Linked DNA regions of Tamandua tetradactyla. The protein of the gene in region 2 purifies or fractionates together with the protein of the main gene of each other region. This does not show direct contact. Links are inferred from orthologs where the notes say so. Each region holds a gene or a part of one and is shown on either strand. Other genes may lie near its edges.

The links. Proteins that work in one complex are often made in the same cells at the same time.
Region 1: the proteins of L3MBTL3 (region 2) and SAMD13 purify together in Homo sapiens (affinity purification with mass spectrometry; 3 studies listed by BioGRID and IntAct, counting the BioPlex papers as one, with this or other methods). This does not show direct contact. The link is inferred for Tamandua tetradactyla from reciprocal best matches to the Homo sapiens genes L3MBTL3 and SAMD13.

Annotation. Positions count from the first base shown.
Region 1 is NC_135337.1:40,793,648-40,804,070, reverse strand, and holds the start of SAMD13 (sterile alpha motif domain-containing protein 13), read left to right. Parts: upstream 1-6,328; 5' UTR 6,329-6,389; coding exon 6,390-6,399; intron 6,400-9,480; exon of another isoform or gene 9,481-9,687; intron 9,688-10,423.
Region 2 is NC_135331.1:191,512,305-191,523,371, forward strand, and holds the start of L3MBTL3 (lethal(3)malignant brain tumor-like protein 3), read left to right. Parts: upstream 1-6,975; 5' UTR 6,976-7,070; exon of another isoform or gene 7,071-7,117; intron 7,118-7,978; exon of another isoform or gene 7,979-8,077; intron 8,078-8,810; exon of another isoform or gene 8,811-8,987; intron 8,988-10,495; 5' UTR 10,496-10,559; intron 10,560-11,067. UniProt on the Homo sapiens protein: Is a negative regulator of Notch target genes expression, required for RBPJ-mediated transcriptional repression. It recruits KDM1A to Notch-responsive elements and promotes KDM1A-mediated H3K4me demethylation.

The DNA.
Region 1 (10,423 bases), on a different chromosome or scaffold from region 2:
TATTAAAAACTAATAAGTAAATCTCTTTCTGTCTCCTTCATTCACAGCAGATTTTCTTCCTGTTCCAGCTCTCCCATCACTGAATGACTGACCAGAAATTATGGCCCATCAACACCCAGCACTTTAGTTTGTTTTAAGGGGATGAGTCAAATGCATACAAACAGAGAGAGGGAGGCAAGAAAATCACTCATGTGATTCTTAAGCAAATCAAGTAAATATCACTAACTTCCTTCAAAGATTAAAAAAACAGTTAGAAAAAATAAAAGCATAGAAATACATGCAAAAATATTATGAGAAAAGAAGAAATTAAAAAAAAACTTATGAGAAATAAAGGAAACAAGGAAAGATTTATTCCAGGAAATTAAGACATAAATGCTCTAAAACTTCCTAGGAAATTAAAAATACAATGGACTCAAATGATTAAAGAAAATATACAATAACAGTGAAACAAAGTGAAATCCAGAAAAGCAGAGGAGATAAATAAGAGTAAAATTGATCACTAAAAATTTCATTAAAAGCACCAAAGAGTAGAACTCAAACTGCAGATAACTGGACATGGAGGGCAAGGTATTGGAAAAAAATCACACAGAATTTAGTGGAAAATGACAAAGAATGAAGGTGATCAGAGAGATGGTAAAAGATGTGGACAAGAGACAACAGAGAACAGACATATGAACAATTGCTGCTTTTGAAGATGTGAATGAACAAATGAACTGAAAAATTTACATAATCAAAGAATTTACTGGAAAAAAAGTCTTAAAATCACATTTTGAAGAGGCTTATGACAATCCAAGAAAATTTAGAACTTCAAAGATAAAAGAAAAAAATGCTATAGTCTTCTAGGCAGAGGGAAAAGATCATCTTCAAAGACAAAAACAAAGTCAAACATATTCCTAGCAATGTTAGATGCTAGGAGAAATTGGAACAATTGTTGATAAATATTTAATAGGAAAAAAAAAGAAATTCTATATCTGGCCTAACTGCTTTTCATGTATAATGGCAACAGAAAGAAATTCTCAAATAGGCAAGAACTTTAAAAACTTACATTTCTGAAGAATATATCTTGAAAAAAAATTAAGATAACGAATAGATGGGTAATAATAATAATGAATTCATAAATGAGACATTCGTGACACAAAAAAATTTGACCCTGAGCTTTGAATCTGTTTACACGTAGAATTATATTTAAATAAGTGGTGTTTTAAGTCATAAGAATTAGATATAATTATGATTCTTAAATTAAAATGTACACAATATAAAGAATACTATTTTGAGAATAGACTAGAACAAGATTTGCTCTCCAGACTATTTGGGAGGTGGAGAGAGTCTAAGTACATTGATTTCACCATCTTTCATCATCATTTCATTTCTAAAGCTGAGAAATAAAATATAATGCTATTTTAAACCGATTTACACCTTCCATATTAGATTATGGTAGGTCATTCTCTCAAGTGCCTCGCCCTGGTCCCCGTCTCCTGGTATTTATGCTCTCGTGGGTGGACTGGAGCTAATGACTTGCTTCTAACAAAGAGAATATGACCAAAGCAATGGGGTGTCACTTCTGAGCTTAGCTATAAAACGCTGTGACTGCAGTCTTGCTTGGTCTCGCTGCGGCTTTTCATAGGCTTGCTCTGAGGAAGCCAGTTGCCATATTGTGAGCTGCCTAATGGAGGGGCCATGTGGCAAGAAACTGAGGCCCTCAGATCCACGGCCCTCAAGGAACTAAACCTTGCGCTGGAGTTTGAAAGCAGATTCTCTCCACGCTGAGTCTTCCGCTGAGACCACCTACACTGAGACCACCTATGCTGAATGAAGCCCTGTGAGATACTTTGAGGAAGAGGGCTCAGCTAAGCCAGGCCAGGACAACAACATAAATGTGTGTTGTTTTAAACCGCTAAGTTTTGGAGCAATTCGTTATACTGCAATGGAGAGAAAACTAGTACACGGAGGAAGATAAAAATAAAAACAAAACAAAAACAAGGAAAACACAGATCATAAAGCAAAAGATAGAAAAAAAAATACAGATTCAAAATAAAATAGGTAGTAGAGATTAGACTAAACATATCTAGTTAAAATAATTGTAAGTGGGATAAAATAAACTTAAAAATGCATTAAATGGGACAAAGGGAGTCACTTTATAATGGCAAAGAATGCAACTCACAATGAAGTTATCTCTATTATGAATCCCCAGTTATCAAATAATAGAGCATTAAAATCCTAAAGCACAACTTCAAGACATAAAATCATAAAGCACAACTTCAAGACATGAGAGGAAATATTAAGAGAAATGTTAGGAGACTAATAAATTTCTGTTCTTGAAAAGATGAGAAAACGGATATAGATGTATGTAATATGATCAAAAGATTGATGTAATAATATCTGCTGTGTAATAGATGTTCAACAAATATTTGTTATATGAACCTTATAGGGTGCAAAGGAAAAAAATGCTAATACTTTAAGTATCCATGTAACATTTACCAAAAAAAAAAAAAAAAAAGTACATGTTTAGGAAAAAATAGACAATATACACAAAACATTTAATCGTTTATTCTAGGAATGGGTTTATTGGGAATTTTCACTTTCTATGAATAATTTGATCGTTTTAAATTTTTACCATATACCTATTTGTTTTCATAATAGACAAAATTTTGTTTATTAAATATAAAACAAGATCTTTTGTTCTACCCCCATCTCTCCTTAGAATTTCTTTGAATTTTTGCCCATTGTCTTTTTCTTTCCTTTTATATCAGAAAACAATCTCCCCTTCCTTCCAAGGACAGCTTGTAGTTCTGATTCTCACATCACTCCCACATTTTATTCTCCCAAGACTCTGCACATCCCTTAATCTCTTCCTATTTTCCATCCGCCAGCCCCCAACTCCTGTGCCCTATGGAATCCTGATTCCTCTCCTACAGCGAATCCATCAGTTCTGAATCTGACCACTTTTCCACTGCTTCCACTCTATTCAAGCTACTATTTTCTCATCTGGATTACTGCAGATGAGATTGCTGCAATAGCTTCCTACCTGGTTTCCTTGCTTGCACCATTGCACACTATGACCCATCTTTAATAGAGAAGCCAGAATAATCCTTTAAAAATATGTCAAACCATGTCACACCTCTGCTCAAAACCCTCCAGCAGCTGTCCATTTCACTGAGTGATAGCCAAAGTCCTTGCAATGCACTACATGTCTTCTATCACCTTCCCCCAGCCCAGACGTCATCCCTCAATCCACCTACTGCTCACCCCCAACTCACTCTAATCTAACCACATTGGCACTCTTGCTGTTTCTTGAAAATTCTATGAACAAACTTGTCTTGCAGACCAGACTATGCTGGACGGTTCCCTCTTCCTGTCATGCTTTTCTCTCATAAAGCTACAAGGCCATTTTCTTACCAACTTCAGATCTTTCCTTGACTATCACCTTCTCAATGAAGTTTACCCTGATCACTATATTTAAAATTTCAACCCACATTCTCACTCATACTCCCACTTCCCTTTATCCTGCTTTAGTTTTCACAGCACTTACCACTTTATAATGTTCTGTGGATTTTACTTACTTTATATTTATTATTTATTGCCTGCCTCCCACACCACCCACAGACATTAGAATATAAGTGCCATAAAGGCAGAGAAGATTTTGTTTTATTTACTGATGTATCTCAGATACCTAGAATAGTGCCCAGCACATAGTAGGTATTCAAGAGATATGTTGACTGCAAGAGTAAATGGTTCCCAGCCTTGTCAAACCTAATGTACCCCTTTTAGAACAAATATAGGGTAATATCCTCTTTACTATCCTGAAGTGAAAGGCATATGCTACCTACACATGCAATTTTAAAAAAATCAAAGTGATGCCTTAAAGGAAAAATTAAATTAAAAGAAAGTAACTTGTGATTCATATGGAACTACTCAGGTAAACTAAAATGCACAAGGAAGTAGCCAGATGCTTGCAACCATCTGTAGGATCATAATGCAACTGACAGCCACAAAATGGACTGTATTAGCAACTCAGATTCTATGAATGGTTTGTAGCTGATGAAGTGGCCAAATTCTGAACAAGATAAATTACAATCTCCCCTTGTTTATTCAATAGCTACAATCCAGGAAAATTCAATATGTCTTAAAACTGTGCAAAAACCACTTTCTGTTTACAGGTAAAACCTTTTTGTTTATATGCAAAAACCTTTATGTTTATATGTAAACAGGTTCTAGGCTCAGATATTTATAAACAGGTTTTTCGTCCATATGAATGAGCAGTAGGACAGGCAAAAAGTTGCACAGAATGCAGGACAAGTCTTTGCTGAGCAGGACTGTCCTGGGCATTGCAAGATGTCTAGCGTCTCTGACTCCACCAACTACATCCCAGTAGTGCCACTTTCCAACCATTGTGACAAGCAAAGTCACCCTGGCAAATTGCCAAAAGAAAACCCTGAGTACAGTTCATTCCTAGTTGAGACCCACCCTCTTTGGGGTTACTTAGTCTTCAAATCCTGTAGCCTCCTTCCTTTTGTTATTGGCCACTGGATACTGTTGACCAGCTCTTCCCCAAATCTCTTTCTTCCCTTGGCTTCTATGTCACTGCTTTCCCCCTTCCTCTTCATCAATTCTTGCCTGGGATCATTGTCTGACTCCTTGTCCCCACCTGTCTGCCTCTGCTCTCCTCTTTTTCTCTCCACAAGCTCTTCAACTACTTTTCCTAAGTTCCATCCCTCACTTGATATCCACATCCACATTTCCAAATGCTATTTGGTCATTCATAGACGGAAGCTACACATGTCCAAAATCAAGCTAGTCATCTTCCTCTAAAACCGTCATTGCATCCATTGTACCTATGTATGTGAATGGTAACATCATCTACTTACTCAGGCTAGAAATGACAACCAACTCTGATCCCTTTTTCTCATGCCCCACATCCAATTAATTGCACTGCTCAAGTCCCTTTTCCCCTGAATGTGTCTCATATCTGCTTCCTTTCTATCAAGGTAGTTCAAGCTGTCATTACCTTGTAGCTTAGGATAGTGCCACAGCCACCTAATTAGAAGTTCTACTTCAATTTTTCTTTTGATACTTCCACAAAGGGAGTTTCTGCAGATAATAATAATTGTAGCCAACATTATTTGAGTCTTTATGATATGCCAGGCACTTGAAATATCAGGTGCTTTCCATTTCTTTTAATCCATACAACGATATCATAAGGTTGGAACTATTATGATTTAAATGAGAAAATTGAAGTTTAAGAGGTTAAGTAACCTACAGTCTCAGAGTTAGCTTGGATGTGACACCAGAATGCCACATCTATCTGACTTCTAAAATCCCTATTTGTTGGATACAACTTTTTCATATTGTCTCTAGTCTGATCATAACTTTATATTCAGTCTCTACATCTATCCCACCTGCTTTTCCTTCCCACTCTATCCCTTAACCCTACACTACTTTTCCACATAGCTTCTTGGCTGATGACAATCTTCTACTGGGTCTCTATGCCTATCCCATCTGCCTTTCCCTTCCCACTCCATTCTTCCCCCAGGTCCATCTTTAGTCTTATGTCCTTATTTAATAAGGATTTACTTAGACATTTCAAGAAAGTCCTTCACAGCAGGCTCCACTTCCGGCACTCACCCACCACACCCGTTACCCATCCCCCTTCTTATTCTTATTCCTAGCAGCTAGTTTTACACTGGAAAAGGAACAAGTGCAGAGTAGCGCCAACTTCTTCAGGTTCCATACAAAAAAACTTCTTACATCTTTATGGTTTTGGTGTATGGTTCTAATATGATGAGACAATTAAGTAAAAAAGTGCTTTAAAACCTGTGCAATTAATCACCCCATCCCCACACCCACCTTCGCATGCCCAGGGCTTTAACTGAGTTATTCTGTGAATCACAGAATAGGTGTTCCAAGCAGAGAATGCCACGTTTGTGTTCGGGGTGAAGTGAGAAGAAGGAAGGCCCTAAATAATAGTTTGGCCTAGGGAAATCTCTATACTTGGCCATGACCGTTCAATTCCAGCTTGAAACTTCATCAGGGTTATCATTAGCGAGTAAGATGGGAAGAGAATGGCATGAGCCTGAAAACACGTAATAAAAAAACTCTCTCTAGGACTGCCCACCTCCCTTCCCCAGCAACTTGGAGGTTTAGAGTTTTTGCAGATGTCCTGCGTTACATTCACAAGGTCCCTGTTACCACCTCATTTGCAACGCGCCTGGTCCCTTTCCGTCTCTTCCCGGCCCTTCTCCTTCCCTGTGGCCCCCACCCCTCGGACCCCCGCCCCGCCCGCGGAGAACTACAACTCCCGACGAGCTGTGCGCGCTCCCGCGGGCGGCACTCGGGCTGGGCGCGTGGTGGCCGCCGAGCTCTGCCCCGGGCACAGCCTCCCGGCGCGGGCCATGCGGGGAGGTAAGTGATCCACTGGTGCTGCGCGGGCGCTGGGGACGCGCCCGCCCTCTCCCCTCTCCAGGATAAAACGAAATGAAGAAAACCATAATAAAAACCGCCTTGCCCTCCTCGCCGTGTGACCGGTGCTCCTGCAGCTTGTTGCACTCACGAGCGTGGACTGTGTCACCCCAGATTGGAATTGGGGGCAGAAGCCGGGGCTCGCCGGGGGCTGCGGCGCCCAGCTTGCAGGATGGGACCCGGGGGTGGCCGTGCGCGGCAAACACCACACCTCCCACGCCCCCTTTCCCAAAGACGGGCTTTCCCCGGGAACCTCCATACTCAGAGGCGAACTGGTTCTTGAAAGTCTTTGCCAGAAACTTTCCTCCGTGTTGCCTGGAGCACAGGCGAGTCGTTTGGCTCCCGGCCGGAGCTGCTGCTCCAAGAGGCTTCCAGGCGTCCCTTCTCCTGGCCTCTCTCCTGCCCCCTCCGCCCCCTCTCCAGGCCGCCCCATTTCCCCACAGACGCCCATGCGTGGAACTCGGTGCTGCCCGTCGGGCGACTTTCTCGAGGTTGCCTCTGCAGCCACGGGACCCAGGTCTGCGCACAGAGACAGGCGGGACGCGAGGCACGGTGGGTGGTGCCTGCGGGGTTGTCTTTGGCTCTCGGGCGAGTCCGCTCTGCCGGAGGGGGCTGGGGGTGGGAGTTGAGAGTGCTGATCAATAAAAGAAGGCACAGTTTCCCGCCCTTCCTGACCCGCCTCCCCTCCCGTCTGAGCCTACACCCAAGTGTGCCGGAAAGTTCTGCTCCAGAATCCCCACCGAGGGCTCCGAAGTTACTGAAGCACATCCCATAATGTGCTGGATCAGAAGGACTGGTTTGGTTGCATCCGTCTCACACAACCCCCACACTGCGCACGCCGCAGACCGCTTACTACACACACATAACAAATGCAACATCCACACTGCACATACTACAAACACCACCCCCACACAACACCCACACTGCATACATCACAAACACAGCATCCATACACCACTACAAATGCCCCGCACACTATTCATAGACAACAGGCATACTAGAGAACATGTACACTATGCATATTACACAATGCTGCATTTATGCTTCCACTGTACATGCCATAACACCACACTCCAGACACACACACATTTTTAAACAGCAGAGAAAAGTGGCTAACAGTTTGTTGGAGAGTTTGTGGGATAGGTGTTTATTAGTGTGTGTGTGTATTCACAGCCACAAATGTCAGTTTATTGCCAAAGTTAGAAACTAGCTGATAAACCAACTTGTTGACGTGATCCAGAATGATTTTGGCTCTTTTTTTTTTTTTTTAATAAAATGGAAATGATTTCCTAGAGCACGCTCTGAAATCTGTACACTTGTCTAATAGGCAAACTCAACTCTGTCACAGTAGGAAAGACAAGATGGGCTGATCTTTTCTATTTTTAGGAAGAAATGCTTGGAGAAACTCCACAGAGTCCTCCCACCTGTGAGAGGGTCTAAGGCAGAGCTGGGTGTAACTACATCTTTTTTTTTTTTTTGGCTTCCCTCCCTTCAAGAGCGGTACCCTGAAGATGAAGAGCTGGTTATGACCAGTGGCATTACAGTGCTGTCAGGTTATCTTATTCCCCTTCTCTCACTCGCAGGACTCAGTCCAGCCTCCTATTTGGATTTAGCTGGAAAACAGTTCACAAATTTCAGACCAAGCCCAAAGATATTATGGAATCTGTTGGTGAAAGAACTCCTAATCATAAGAGTCCATTATTTTTATCAGCAGTGGTGAAGGATCCACCTGCCAGATCCTTACTGAAAATGTTCAGACACTTAGAATTCATACTCACATTATCATTTGCTTTTACAAGGGGGCAGTGGCAAAGATAGGTAGAGAGAATATATGAAATCTTTCTCAGTGATGATCTTTCAGGAAGTTGGAAATGTCTAATAACATTCCTGAAATAAGTAAGGAAAGAAAAAAGACAAAATTTGAAATTTAGGTTCCAAATTTAGATGACAGTTGCTGATCTTCTGGTGCCCTTAAAAGTTACTGAGAAGAAGTGAGGCAAGCAGTTTTCTCTTGAATAATGCCTGAAATCTGTAGCCGATTTTCCAGGACTCTTCTTAGGGACCTATATTTTCTGCCCTGAGTGATTTTGTTGTCATCTTGACCTAAAAGTGGACAAATTTTGATTGGTGCTTATTTCAATCAAGAGGCAGCCGAATTGAGGCTGGCCAAACAAGAGACCGGTGGAATTATCAAGTGTTACTTAATCAAAAGATTTTTCCCGTTCCCATTATCCCCAATCCTTCTTCCCAATTTCCTGAATGGGGATTTAGAGTGGTGGTGGGAGATACTGTGAAGTTGGAGTTGGCACAATGTCTTCTTATTCATATGTAAGACTAATATAGTACCAGGTGTTCATTGGTGCTCAATCAAGGTTGGTTGAATTTGTTGAATTATGCTTTGTGTACAACTAGGATAAAGAGTTAAAATTCAGCTTCCCAGAACTAATTGCTTTCTTTCTTTCCTTTTTTTTTTTTTAGAAAAGGTTTTGTTTGTTTCAGTTTGAAATTTTTTTGCTGCCTTCGTTTGGTGGGATGAATGCCAACATAAAAGAATGTGGTTGTTCTCACGAGATCTGATCATCTATTTTGCATCTACTCTGAAATTTATTTCTTCCTGCATAATGAAGTAAAAGGATTTTTGACTGGGCAGTGCTTTCCTTCTTCTCACACATCTTTATTAGGAAGAAAGCATAACACAGGACTCCAGCTTCCGAGTGTTCACTGATCATAGCCCCATAAGCACCTGAGTTGTTGTCTCTCTTAGGTTCGTTTCCCACAGAGGGGGGAAAAAGAATAGTTGGAAACCTTACATTCATGCCCAGACACACAGCAAAAACATACCATGTGGCAACAATGAAGGGGAGGGAGAAAATAAAGGGCCATTGATATCGCCTGTTGTTCTTTGTACAAGACAGGTGCAGAGAGAATTCTGCAGTTTGTGGCCTCGTGATTCATTCAGTTCCACTAATTGTGCTGAGGAGAGTTAGCGAAAGTGAACGGGCACACTGTAGCTTTAAAAAGGCAGCCATGAACCAGAAGGCAGTTGGTGCAGCTTGTGTGTGATTCCTAACGTCATGTTGGCTGAGAGCCAGCCTGGTTTTATTTCACTGTGTCAAATTGTACCTCCTTATTGAATTCCTTTGCCAGCCTACTTTGTGAAAGAAAACATTGGGGTTTCTTTGGCTGTTCTTGATAAGCCTATAAAAATTGCTATGTTTTAGTTGCTTCTAGGTAGGTTTTCTTTTTACTCTTCCACCCAAAATAATAATAATAAGACATTGTGGTGTGGTGTTGCAGAGTAGCAGTGTGAGTGTTTTGTTTTGTTTTGTTTTGTTTTCCTGAGATGCTCAGAAAATGGTGAATGTGTAACAGTTTCCAACTGAAGTGGAATCATTGTTTTGGCATGGAGCAGCAGCGCTGTCTTCCTGTCTACTCTGTAGCGGTGTGTGGATGTATGTGAATAGGTGTAGATCTGTATTCAATGTTGCTTTTCTCTAGCAATGCTCGAAATGGTTTAGCAACTGGAAGTTTGTATGTGTGTGTGTTTCAGGAGCGAAGATTATCCCACACAGTGTTGTTAATCATCTACTTCTCTAACAGCGATAAAATCTTGTGAAAATACTAAATGATGCACTTGTCATGTCAGAGTAATCCCTAGAGAAGGAGTGCCGAAGTATCAAGTGATTTGAGAAGAAATGTATTTAATTTATGGTTTCAGCTGTAGGAGAGCAAGCATGTTTCAGGACTAGTTGGGTTTTTTTTTTTTTTCCTCCCCTTCAAACATTTCTGTTCAGAGCTTTTTCTTCTTGCTAATTGTATATTAATTGTGGAGGGTTTTTATTTCTTCCCAGTCCTCAGCCTACTAAACAAAAAGACAGTGATAGATTCTGCTACATCCTCTTGAATGTTTGGATGATTTTTTACATAAATCTAATAAGCTGCCCTCTCTTACACACACACACACACA
Region 2 (11,067 bases):
TGAGAGGATACATGAGTTCCTCAGAAGAGCCTATAAAGAGAGAAAAGACCAGAACTTAGTTCCAGAAGGGTTGGCTACAGCTCTGATAGTGAGGGAGGAGGAGGGAGAGGCACTGATGAAAACGAGAGCCAGTGGTCCAAGGGAAAGACAGCAAGCAGACGGCTGACTGCCAAGGAGTTTGCAAGAGAAGACAATTTCAGGGAAGGGGTTGGTCAACAGTGCCAAATACTTCTAAAATCCTGAACAGGAAGTGGACCGTGCCCACTAGATTTGACATTTAGGAAGTGACTGGGCACATTACAGAGAAGAGAGGATGGATACCAGTGCCCAAGGACAGAAGAATGAATGGGATGGAGGAAAATGACAGTGAGTATCAACTCCTTTTCCAAGTAGTTGGGCAGCAAAAGAAATTGTAAATCATGGTACAGTATTTGATGGGATGTAGAATTGAGAGCAAGTTTTCTTTGGCCTGGAGAGATATGAGTACATGTTTCAGCTGTGAGGTAAAGCCAGAAGAGACTAATGGACTGAAATCATGGGGAGAATGAGGAAGAATCCTGGAGGAACGGAGAGGGGTATGTGCAAAAGTACATTTGGAAGGGCTGATCTGGGGAAGACGTAGGGATCGTGTCCCTTCCACCTGCAGCCCCCAGACGGGATGGAAGTTGAAAGGAATCGCTGAGGGAGCTTGCTTTGGGACAGAGGGGACACTGTGGAGGCTGGAGTGAGGGCCCAAGAGCCATGACCCAGCTGGCAGGGCTGAGGAGCAGGAGCCAACAGGCGCAAAGGGTCGGCTCACCCAGCTCGACGGACCGGCCCTCAGCGTTAAGACGGGTTTAATCTGCATTGGAGCCCATCAGCTGCAATGAGGGCCAACACTCTGTATCTCTTTTCTGTCCAATACACTTTTGAGTTTTTCCTGAAACCCCACAGACACTGGATTGGGTCAGCCCATTTGCAGATGCTTAAGTGAGATCACTCTCAACTGACGGTCAGTCTCACGCTCATTTTCACTCCTTCTGTTCCTCACTGTCAACATCTAGGGGCATCTGCACAGAAGCCCCAACAGACTGACACTAGAAAAGTACTACTTCCACTAAGAGATTTTCACAGAAAAAAGTTGGGAAATTTACCAAGGAATGGAGAATGCTTCAATCCCGAAATTAAAAAATTTCATTCTTTAAAGACTTTGAACCCATTGAGAAACCTCAGTTTAAAAACCTTTCAATTGATTCTAGTTTTCAAAAGAGAACCATGGTGAAGGCACAGCTAGTAAGTCTAATTTAACGTAACAGATTGTCTCCTCATACGTCCCATTTTGCATTCTACGTGAACAAACTAACGATCCAGGTTTTTTCTACACTCGCACTTACTGTATTTATGGGACAAATTCAATCCCAGACACAGGTATTAGGGCTTGGAACCAGGCCGCTGTTACTGCCCCTGTGAAAGATAACGTAGGAATGCTATAACAAATATTTAGTTTAAAAAACCGAGAAGGGCTTTGAAAATGTAAAAGTGTAATATAAATGCTAAATAAAGATAATATATTCTGAACAGCAGGCTCCTTTGAAATAGGGCCTTTGAATTCCATTAGCACTCTCTGTTTACTTGCTTTTAGGAACTTTTAGGAGGAAGTTGCACGAGCGCATGCTTGCCACGCGACACCTAAGGCCTAGCAATCAGCCACTGAAAGGGGCAAGTGGGATGTGCAGATGCACCAATTCACATGATGATAATGACTCTCTTATTCAGGGAACACTGACTGCACCCCTGCTGCATGCAGGAACAGGTGTGTGCCGGGAGCACTGCAGGGGACACAGGAGAAACCCAGTGGGCTGTGTCCTGTTAGTACCCCCAGTTTGCAGGTGGAGAAACTGAGGCGACCTGCCCAAGACCACACCTTGGCACATGGTGAAGCTGGGACCTAAATCTAGAAGTCCACCTTCCACTACTGAGAAAAAATGGCTGGAAACCGGATTGCCAATTCAACTAACTTGGCCCGCTTTAACTTTGTAAGGTCAAAAAAATGAGTTACATGCATTTGCTTCCTCTGGGTCTTTTATTTATCTTTGGAGATTCTACTCAGTTGTCTGCAAGGGGTGGGGAGTCTCTGTGGAAATACTAGCAAAAATAGGAACTGCAGCTATGCAGAGCGTCACCTCGTGACCACAGAGCGGCCAGGCCTCTCTGAGACCAGAATGGCATTTGGGATGAGAAGGTCACACAGAGTCCAGGGCAGGGACCTGTGGAATGCTGCTCATCTGCTGCTCCTCCCGTGAGCTGACTTTGGCTGTTCTTGACCTCATGGTTTCTACTTGGGCATCACGTCTAACGCCCCACGGCCGCGGTGGGGCGCCCAGTCTCTCCCCTTTTCTCTCCGTGAATCTTTCAGTTTTTGCAAAGCTTGCCAGCTAACTTTTTCTATCACAGGCCCAGTTCATATGGCCAAGTATGAGAAGACTGGCCTGTTTCATTACATTCTCACCCACAGAGAAGCTGCCCACAGGCCAGGCCTGCCACTCGGCTCAGTCCATAGACCAAATATCCACTCCTGGGCCAGTCAGCTGCGGCCAGGAGAGCGGGTCAACTGGAAGGCACCTCCCAGAGCAGGGGGCTCTGACGGAGGGGAGCTACTGGCACAGACAAGTTCTGAAGTTTGGCTTTTGCCCTCTCTCACTGTTTTTTTTTTTTTTTTTTTTTTCCAGCATGGGCAGGTTCCGGGAATCGAACCCGGGTCTCCGGCACGGCAGGCGAAATTCTACCACTGAACCACCGTTGCCCACCCTTCTCTTACTTTTTAATTAAAATGCTTCTGAATTTAGGTTTAAATGAGTAGGTGTGTTATGAGAAATTAACATAAATTACCTTTTGCTTTTTAATTTAGAAGTCAGTTTACAATCCCAGATTCTCCTCTCTTCCAGATATGTCTATATTTGATACCTTCTTTATACCTAAATTAAATGATAATAATCACATCTATCCCAGAGTTCTTCATATATTTAATTTCCTTAAGATATTTTCAGTATGATACACACTAGGAGTCTTTCCTTTACCTGATAAGTAATATATCCTTTTCTTTCACTCTCAGCATTTCAATGACATTTTGCTACCACAAGCTCTGTGCTAAGAATGTTTGCAGATGTGTCCCAGGAAAGACAATCAGGATTCAAATTAGAGTACCTACAAGCACATTTCACTGTTATCTAGAACTAACAGGAAAATCAAACTCGGCTCTGACAAATATCAATAATAAAAATCTTGGCCAAATCAATGGTAATGTCATTTTGATACTTGGAAAAACATGGAACACACAATTATGTAGGTTTAAAAAATCAATAACTTGACTCCTACTTAAAAAGTAAGATAATACATTAAAATGATGATTTAAAGGATCGTTCATTTAGAAAAATCTCTATGGATAGATTCAATTTTACCTTAAGACTTGTGCCCACTAGCACACATTGCAATCCAGGGGCCTGAGGTTAGAGAAGGAGTTTGTGGCTATAAAACAGATCAAAACTAAGTAGCCATTAGGGAATGGAGTTTCGTCCTTCCATCTCATTAGCACCCAGCTTTACGGAGTGAATGAGCTCTTCAGTGATAGCATTCTGACACCCAGCAGATGGGTGGTTCTCACTCCTTCCTTAAAATTCCTTTCCTCCATATCATTTATACTAAAATGTGAAGGTGCTCCCTGCAGGCCTTCCTAGAGGAGTACGTGCCAGAGGGCAAGTGTGAGCAGTGTGCCTATCAGGGCAGGGCGAATTTAGTGTTAGAAAAAGGAAGCGTAGGTATCCAAACTGAAGTTCACAGACGGTGGAGGTGACAAGATGGAGAGAGGTTAGTGTGGCCTGTGCCTGGCAGTGCTGATGGAGAGCCCCATAATGTCTCTATAGAGTGCAGTGACACGTTCAAACATCTCCCGTGTATAGTGACTTCAGGTTCAGAATATTTAGGAGTGGAATAACTCGAAATTATTTTGGGGGGAAGTCTGGGCATAACAAATAAATATAAAGAAAAACAGAGCAGTGAGCTAAAACTTAATTTGGGCTGCCAGGGAGGTTATAGACCACCTGCCCTCGGCCTGGAGGATGGGTTAGCTGGGCGACGGGCGAAGGGGGGAGGGTGGTGGAGGATGGTGACAGTAAGTGGTGCTGGTGAGAAGGGATTCATCATGAATTACTAGGCCTTGACTGAATGGTGGAAGCGTGTAGGGAAGGCAAAGAAGCTTCTACCAGTATGTTACCATTTAGGGAAGAGGTAGAGAAATATCCTGTAAACAGGATCTGTTAATATGAAGAATAAAACAATGTCATCTAGATTCCAAGACAGTATTCTGCCTGTCTCAGATGGCAGCATTGAAGGATTGTCTGTGGACAAAAAAAAAAAAAAAAAAAAATGGTAGCAGTCTTTAAAGCTATCCTTTCAGGGAGAACCTCCAAAATCTTTATCACCCTGAACCACAACACCCTGGGAACAACTGAGATGAAATTTTTTGAGGTGTTTCTCATGATTTCTGGAGGGAGAAAGAAAATGCGTTGTGGAGACCCTCCACTCAGGCTTATTTTTGTTAGTGAGCCTCAGCAGATGAGCAGTTCCCAGGCAGGCTCTGCTCTGCACGGGCCCATGTGCTCAGGCTCCCTCTGATTCGATCACCCTCCCACCTACCTTCTTGGGGGAAGGCTGAGCCCATAAGCCACTGACCTCTGTCCTTCCAGGATTAGCTTAGCCATCACTTCTGCAAAGCCTCCCCGCAAGACCATAAATGCTCCTGGCTTGTGCTGGCTTTACACCCCATACTTCTAGCATTTACCATGCCATCATGCAATGTCATATTAACTAGATGTCTCTCTCTCATCAGGCCAAGTTCCTCGTGGCCAGGGCAGTGTTTCGATCGTGTTTATTCCCAGCAGCTTGCAGACTCCTCAGAGCACATGGTAGAAGGCCAGTTTGTGTTTGCAGAATGTTGACCTGATACCTCTGAAAATACACCTACAATAGACATATCATCTAGAAATTATACTGAGGGAACGAATCTAAAACGATTTTTTTGGAAAGAGGACTTTCAAATTACTTTTAGTCTATTTGGGGTAGGGTCTTGGGTTTGCACATAGCTCCTGGCCTTGCTTTCCTTCTCCTTGTGTGGCCTGTTTTCGGTCATGACACTGCTCATGATGCCAGAGCCAGGGAGAAAAGCGGACAAGCCGAAACTCCCATCAGTTCCGTAGGCTGCGCCTGAAAGGTACGATGTGGTGGGTGAAATCGATAGCTAGCCCTGGATTGGGCTTATCCACAGTTCTGGCTGACCAAGCCTTCTGCACTTCACACCCCTCTTTCAGCTTCCCAGGGCTTGTCCTTTGTCCCCAAGGAGAGGCCGAGCCATATATCCAGATTTTTGGCTCTAAGAATTCAGCCACCATACCAAAAAAGAAAGAGTTGGGTGGTCTGCTTCTCTAGGGTAATTTCATGGTGCTAAGGAAAGACTTGAACAATTTATTTTCTGAAACTGGTTCAAGAAACATTCCTTAAGTGAAAAATTCAATCAAGAATAATATTTCTTACACTTTGGAGAAGGATTTTTAATACAGAATTCCATCTGTGATATATTTAAATTCTAGGCCTCAGGCAGCAATTTCAGAAAAGGGCCTCCTTCACCCTGGGTTAGATGCAAAATAAATATCCGGGGGGGGGGGCTCCCCCATTTCTGAAATCGCACAGGCTATTCTTTTTTCTCGCACAGCAAAGTGTGTTATTGACACGAAAATGTTCACCACAACTTCGATTACGTGAGTCTTTGTGTAAGGACTTGTGTCTCGGAAGACGGCCTTGCTAGAGCCGGCCTGTGTGAGGAGAGGAAAGCTGTCCGTGCGACCCGTACTCTCTGCCTGGGTTTTGATGTGTTAACAAAGACAGGCTTCGGTATTTGGGGTGTCTGAACACACCAGGACGAAAGTCCTCCACTTGCTTATTGCTGAGGGCCCTTCGCGTTGATTTCGGAGCCGATCCGCGAGTCTCCCCATCTCCCACGGTGGAGGCCTGGCTAGTTTACAATGTCCGTGAAGACAGTCAATGCTGAAGGAGGACGAGGAGCACGCAAGGTGAAACCCCGCACTTGGCCGCGCAGCCTTCGAGGCCCCAGTGAGGGGGGTGGCGGAGGGGCTCATACTCTGCCAGGGCTGAAAACTTTCTTTCCTATTTTCCTTGGCCTGTGCGCGCACGTGGCCTCGGGCGAGTGTCTGTGGGGACGAGGGCCCACTCTTTAACGGCTGAATGCACACATCCAGCAGCACATGGTGGATGAGCTGCTCTGCGAACTGCCTTAAAAAATGTAAAGTGAAAAACAGACAAAGAGAGCTGTCACCTTCGCCGCCCTTCGCGTTTGTTTTGCCCGCCCTGGCCACGGCTCGGAGCCGGGCCCAGGCCGGGAGAAGGTGCACCTGAGGCGGCGCGTGCGTGCGGGCCGGGCCGGGGTGGCGGCTGCTCTCCAGCGCAGGGCGCAGGCAGGCAGGGCGCAGGAAGGGCGCCAGTAGGCAGGGCGCAGGAAGGGCGCGAGTAGGCAGGGCGCAGGCAGGACGCGGGCAGGCAGGCAGGGTGCAGGCAGGCAGGGCGCAGGCAGGGTGCAGGCAGGCAGGGCGCAGGCAGGGCGCAGGCAGGGCGCAGTCAGGCGCAGGCAGGCGCAGGCAGGGCGCAGGCAGGCGGGGAGCAGGCAGGTCGCAGGCAGGGCGCAGGCAGGCAGGGCGCAGGCAAGGCGCAGGTAGGCAGGGCGCAGGCAGGCGGGGTGCAGGCAGGGCGCAGGCAGGCAGGGTGCAGACAGGCAGGGCGCAGGCAGGCAGGGCGCCGGCAGGGCGCAGGCAGGCAGGGCGCAGGCAGGCAGGGCGCAGGCAGCAGCCGGGAAGCGGCCCGGCCCGCCGCGGCGGCGGCGGCGGCGGCGGCGGCGGCGGCGGCGGCAGCGCAGTTTCCCTCTCCCCAGCCAGGCTCCACGCGCACATGCGCACTGCGCCCGCAGCCCTGGACCATTTGTCAGGACTACTCGTGAGACCGAGAAAAAAAAAAGAGAAAATTTGGGGGTAAGAAGCGGCTGATCTGATCGAATCGCTCGTTAATCTGCAGATCTGTACGTGCCAAAGGCATTCATTTATTTTTCTGGGTGAGGATGAAAGTTCCGAGCGCTGCCGAGGGAAGGAAGCGCACCCTGCCCTTGTGAAACAGACCCGGGAGGGGAAAGGACAGAAGGGGTTTCTCCCCCACTTCTCTCCGCCTCTGGGAAAGAGGAGAAAACTTAATCCCGGGGAAAAAAGTGGGCAAGTGACTCGGAAGGGGCTGGAGGGGGAGTCCCCGGGCATCTCCCCGTGAAGTAGTGAGCGCGAGTGTGAAAGAGGAACAAAAGAGCGAGAAAAGAGAAAGGAAAAATGGGGGGGAGGAGAGACTTGTCTTTTTTTCGGTGCGCGCACCCGGGGAAGGGTGTGGGGGGCCGTGCGGAAGGGAGCCGGGCGAGGCGGCCGCGGCGCGCTCTGCGGGAGGGCCCCCTCCCCGCGCGCCCCCTCCCCCGAGCCTGTCACTGGGGTCCCTCTCCTGACGCCGGGCGCGGGCGGGGGCGCGTGCCGGGTGGGTGCCGCGGGGCCGCCGCCGGGGCGGCCGAGGCGGGCGGGGGCGGCCGGGCCGCGGCTCGGGGCGGCGGGAGGCGGCCGGCCCCGCGCCCGCCCCTGCGGCCCCCTCCGCCCGTGTGTGGCCTTTGTGCCGGGCGCGCACCGGGGAGCGGCGGGGCGAGCGCGAGAAGTCCAAGTACGGGAGACCGAGGCAGTGGGAAAAGAGGCCGGGCCACTTTCTCCGCACTCGGGCTGCGGAGAACGGACTGGTTGAATGTGCAGGCGCGCCTGCCGGCGTGTGCTGGGTGTGCGCGGCGCCGAGGCCTGCCCGGCTCCCACCGCGCACACGCACACTCACACGCACGCACACTCACACTCGCGCGCGCACACACACACACACATACACCCGGACCCCGCGGCGCGGCGCGGCCCGGCGGACCCGAGTTTGCGTTGCCTTCCTCGCCGCCTCCCCCTGCCCGACCGACTGTGTGAGAATTTAATAGAGAGCAGCTCCAATTTCCGCCATTTTGGGAAAGTTGCACAAAAATAAACCCTCCGGTTTATTTCTGCCGGGGCCGGGAAAGTGCCCGGGGAGGCGAGGCGGCGCGGGCCCGCGGCGGCCGTGCGCGCGGGGAGGCGCCGGAGGGCGCGGGCCGGGCCGGAGCCGGTGCCGTCGCGGCGTTCGCCCCGCGCCGTGTCGCGCCGCGCCGCCGGGGGCTGCGGGCGTGTGCCGGGAGGCGGCGGCGGCGGCGGCGGCCGGGAAGGGGGGCCGCGGGGGGCGGGAACGCGGGGCCGCGGGTCCTGCAACTTGTTTACGCCCGCCCGAGCGCCGGGAGGCGGCCGGGGGTCCGCGCGGGGGCCGTGCCGCGGCCATGGGCTTTGCACACTCGCGTCCTGGGCCCGGCGGCCGGGCGGGCGGGGGAAGTAGAGGCCGGCGGGGTGTGTGGGGGGGGACCGGGAAGCGCAGGAGCCCAGGCATCCGCCGCGCGCCCCGCGAGCTGGGGGAGGGGACCGGGGAGGGGGGAGAGGGAGGAAAACTTGAGAGCCCCCGAGACGTGGGGGGGCGGGGGTGGCGGCGCGGTGACACGGGCGGGGGGCAGGGTGCAACTTTTGTGCTGGTGGTAAAACTTTAATTACCTTTAAAGAAAAAAGGCCCAATGATCTGGGTTTTCGGGTCCCCCCCCCCCCACCTTCCCTCCTTCTGGTCAAAGCTCGGCCCACAGCGCGACCGTGAGAGAAAGTTGAAAAGCGGGCGCTTTCCTTCCCGCCCGCCCGCGGAGGGGTAGGGGTGTCTGGCTGTCTGTCCGTCCGCTCTCGGGGGGAAGTGGGGGTTGCGAGCCGCCCCACGGGGTCGCGAGGACGGTGGCACTTACCCCACCCTTCCACGGGGAGACGAAGGTAAACGTCGCTTTGGTTTCCCTTCACAGTCCCCCCCCCCCCCCGCTTCCTTTTCCTCCCCTCCCCTCCGAGTTTTCGAGGGGACCCGAAAAACGGAGTCTCTCTCCTTATGCAACTTCCTCGGGCGCCGCGACCGCGGCCTCGCCTGGCGCTGCATCCCCGGGCCGCGCCTTCCCACCCAGGCCGGCGCCCGGGAACGCCGCCGAAGGTCGCTGCGAGCGCGCAGAAACAAAAATAGACGAATTGTTCGAAGTTGAGGGAAACTGAGATAAGTGGAAATGGGGGGTGGGGGGCGGGGGGGGGAGGGGGAGCGCGGCTGCGGCGGGCGCGTCGGTCTGTAATTTTGCGTTCCTCTGAGCGCTGGGATGCCTTTGTGGGTCCGGGAAGCCCGGGACCGAGGCTCGGCACTGGGCAGCCGCGTCGCGTGGGTTTTTGCGCAAGTTTTTAGAAAAACACTGACTCGAGTAGAGCATTTCCCCGGAAAGTTTCAAGTGCAGCAAAATCGCGAACGTGCAAAGCTGGCCAAGGGGGGACCTCTAGTGGCTGACCGCGGGCGGAGACTCGCAGGCCCAGGGCAGAGTTTGGCCTTTTCTCGCTCGTCGGTTCCGACGTGGAAGTGGCCAGCCGGCCTCGGGGCGAGCGGCCGTGCGCGGTGTGGGAGGATGCTGGTGGGAGAGGAAGGCTGGCGAAATCCGAGAGCAGGGGGCCCTGAGGGTTCAACCCCTCTGACTCCCCCATCCCCCTCCCAGGGAGAAAGACATTTTGCTTCCATTCTGGGCTTTGGAATTGGTATTGTGTGCTTTTCTGTTTCAAGTCCTCTGTGTCTCTGATTCGTTTTTCATCACGAGTCATAGCAGATATTGCATTTGGAGTGTTAATAAAAGTACGGGGTACAGTGTGGGTTTAAGGACAAAGTCCTTTGGCTGAAGTTTTCCTTTCCTTTGAGCTGATCAGTGTATTTTCTAATAAATATAATTTTAGTGTGGAGTTTCTTGACTGTTTAGTTAGTTATAATACATGTGAATGCTTAGAGAGTTATAGCGTATACGGTCCCTTTTAGTTGTGAGAGTATTACTTTGTTTCATTAAGAAGGTATTTTTGGAATACTTTGTATAATTTGTGAAACTTAAATATATAGCAAAAATTGCTTACATAATATCTGTTGTTTTGCTCGTGTGTCTTGTAAAGTATCTTTAAAACTAAAGCAATATGGGACATTAAAGCTGAATCCAGTGATTCCTGAACTTTTCACCTGTTTGTCAGGTCATGGGAGAGGCCTTAGTGCAAGTATTCAGCACGTGGGACTATTTTGAATGATTAAAACCCATTTCACCTCATCTCAGACTAGTTGATTTTATTTTGATGTGCACAGTGGCTTGGGGTGAGATGATGCAGATGTCAGTGATTCGGAGTTTAAGCTGATTATTAATTGGGGGTTGGGGATTTCAAGGATTATTTTTGACACCCATGCTTGGAGTTTATCTTTCCTCTCTTTAAATCCATTCTAGGCCTTGGGGTGGACAGCGGTTGTGAAGACCTCCAGACAGTTGTACCTTTCTGCACCGCCACAAGGTAAGATTTGCTGGTGGAAACAAATTGCTTGACATATGTACACGTGTTAAAGGCTGCTTTGGGGAATCAGGAAATGAATTGTGGGACATGGTTGGCAGAAAAGCATCATTATATAGGATTTCTTTGACTGTATTGAAGTGTTGACACTAAGGGTAGTTGAGGCTGGAATAACACACTTGGAAAATTACAAGACTACCTTGCATAGTCTTTGGCCTGACTTACTTGCCAGATTCTTTTTTTTTTCCACTTTGTTTTATTTTATTATTATTTTTTATTTCAATGTTTTTTATTATAAAACAGCAAACAAACATACAAACATTCTTGACATACAGATATTCATGACATAATTACAATCGGTGGCTCACAATAGCATCACATAGTTGTGCATTCATTACTATGATCATTTTTTTGAACATTTACTTGCCGGATTCTTAATTGGCATGTCACTTGTACCTGTTTTCTACTGGAAGTAGATTGCTTTATTCTTTGGAATTGATGAAGTCAGGAA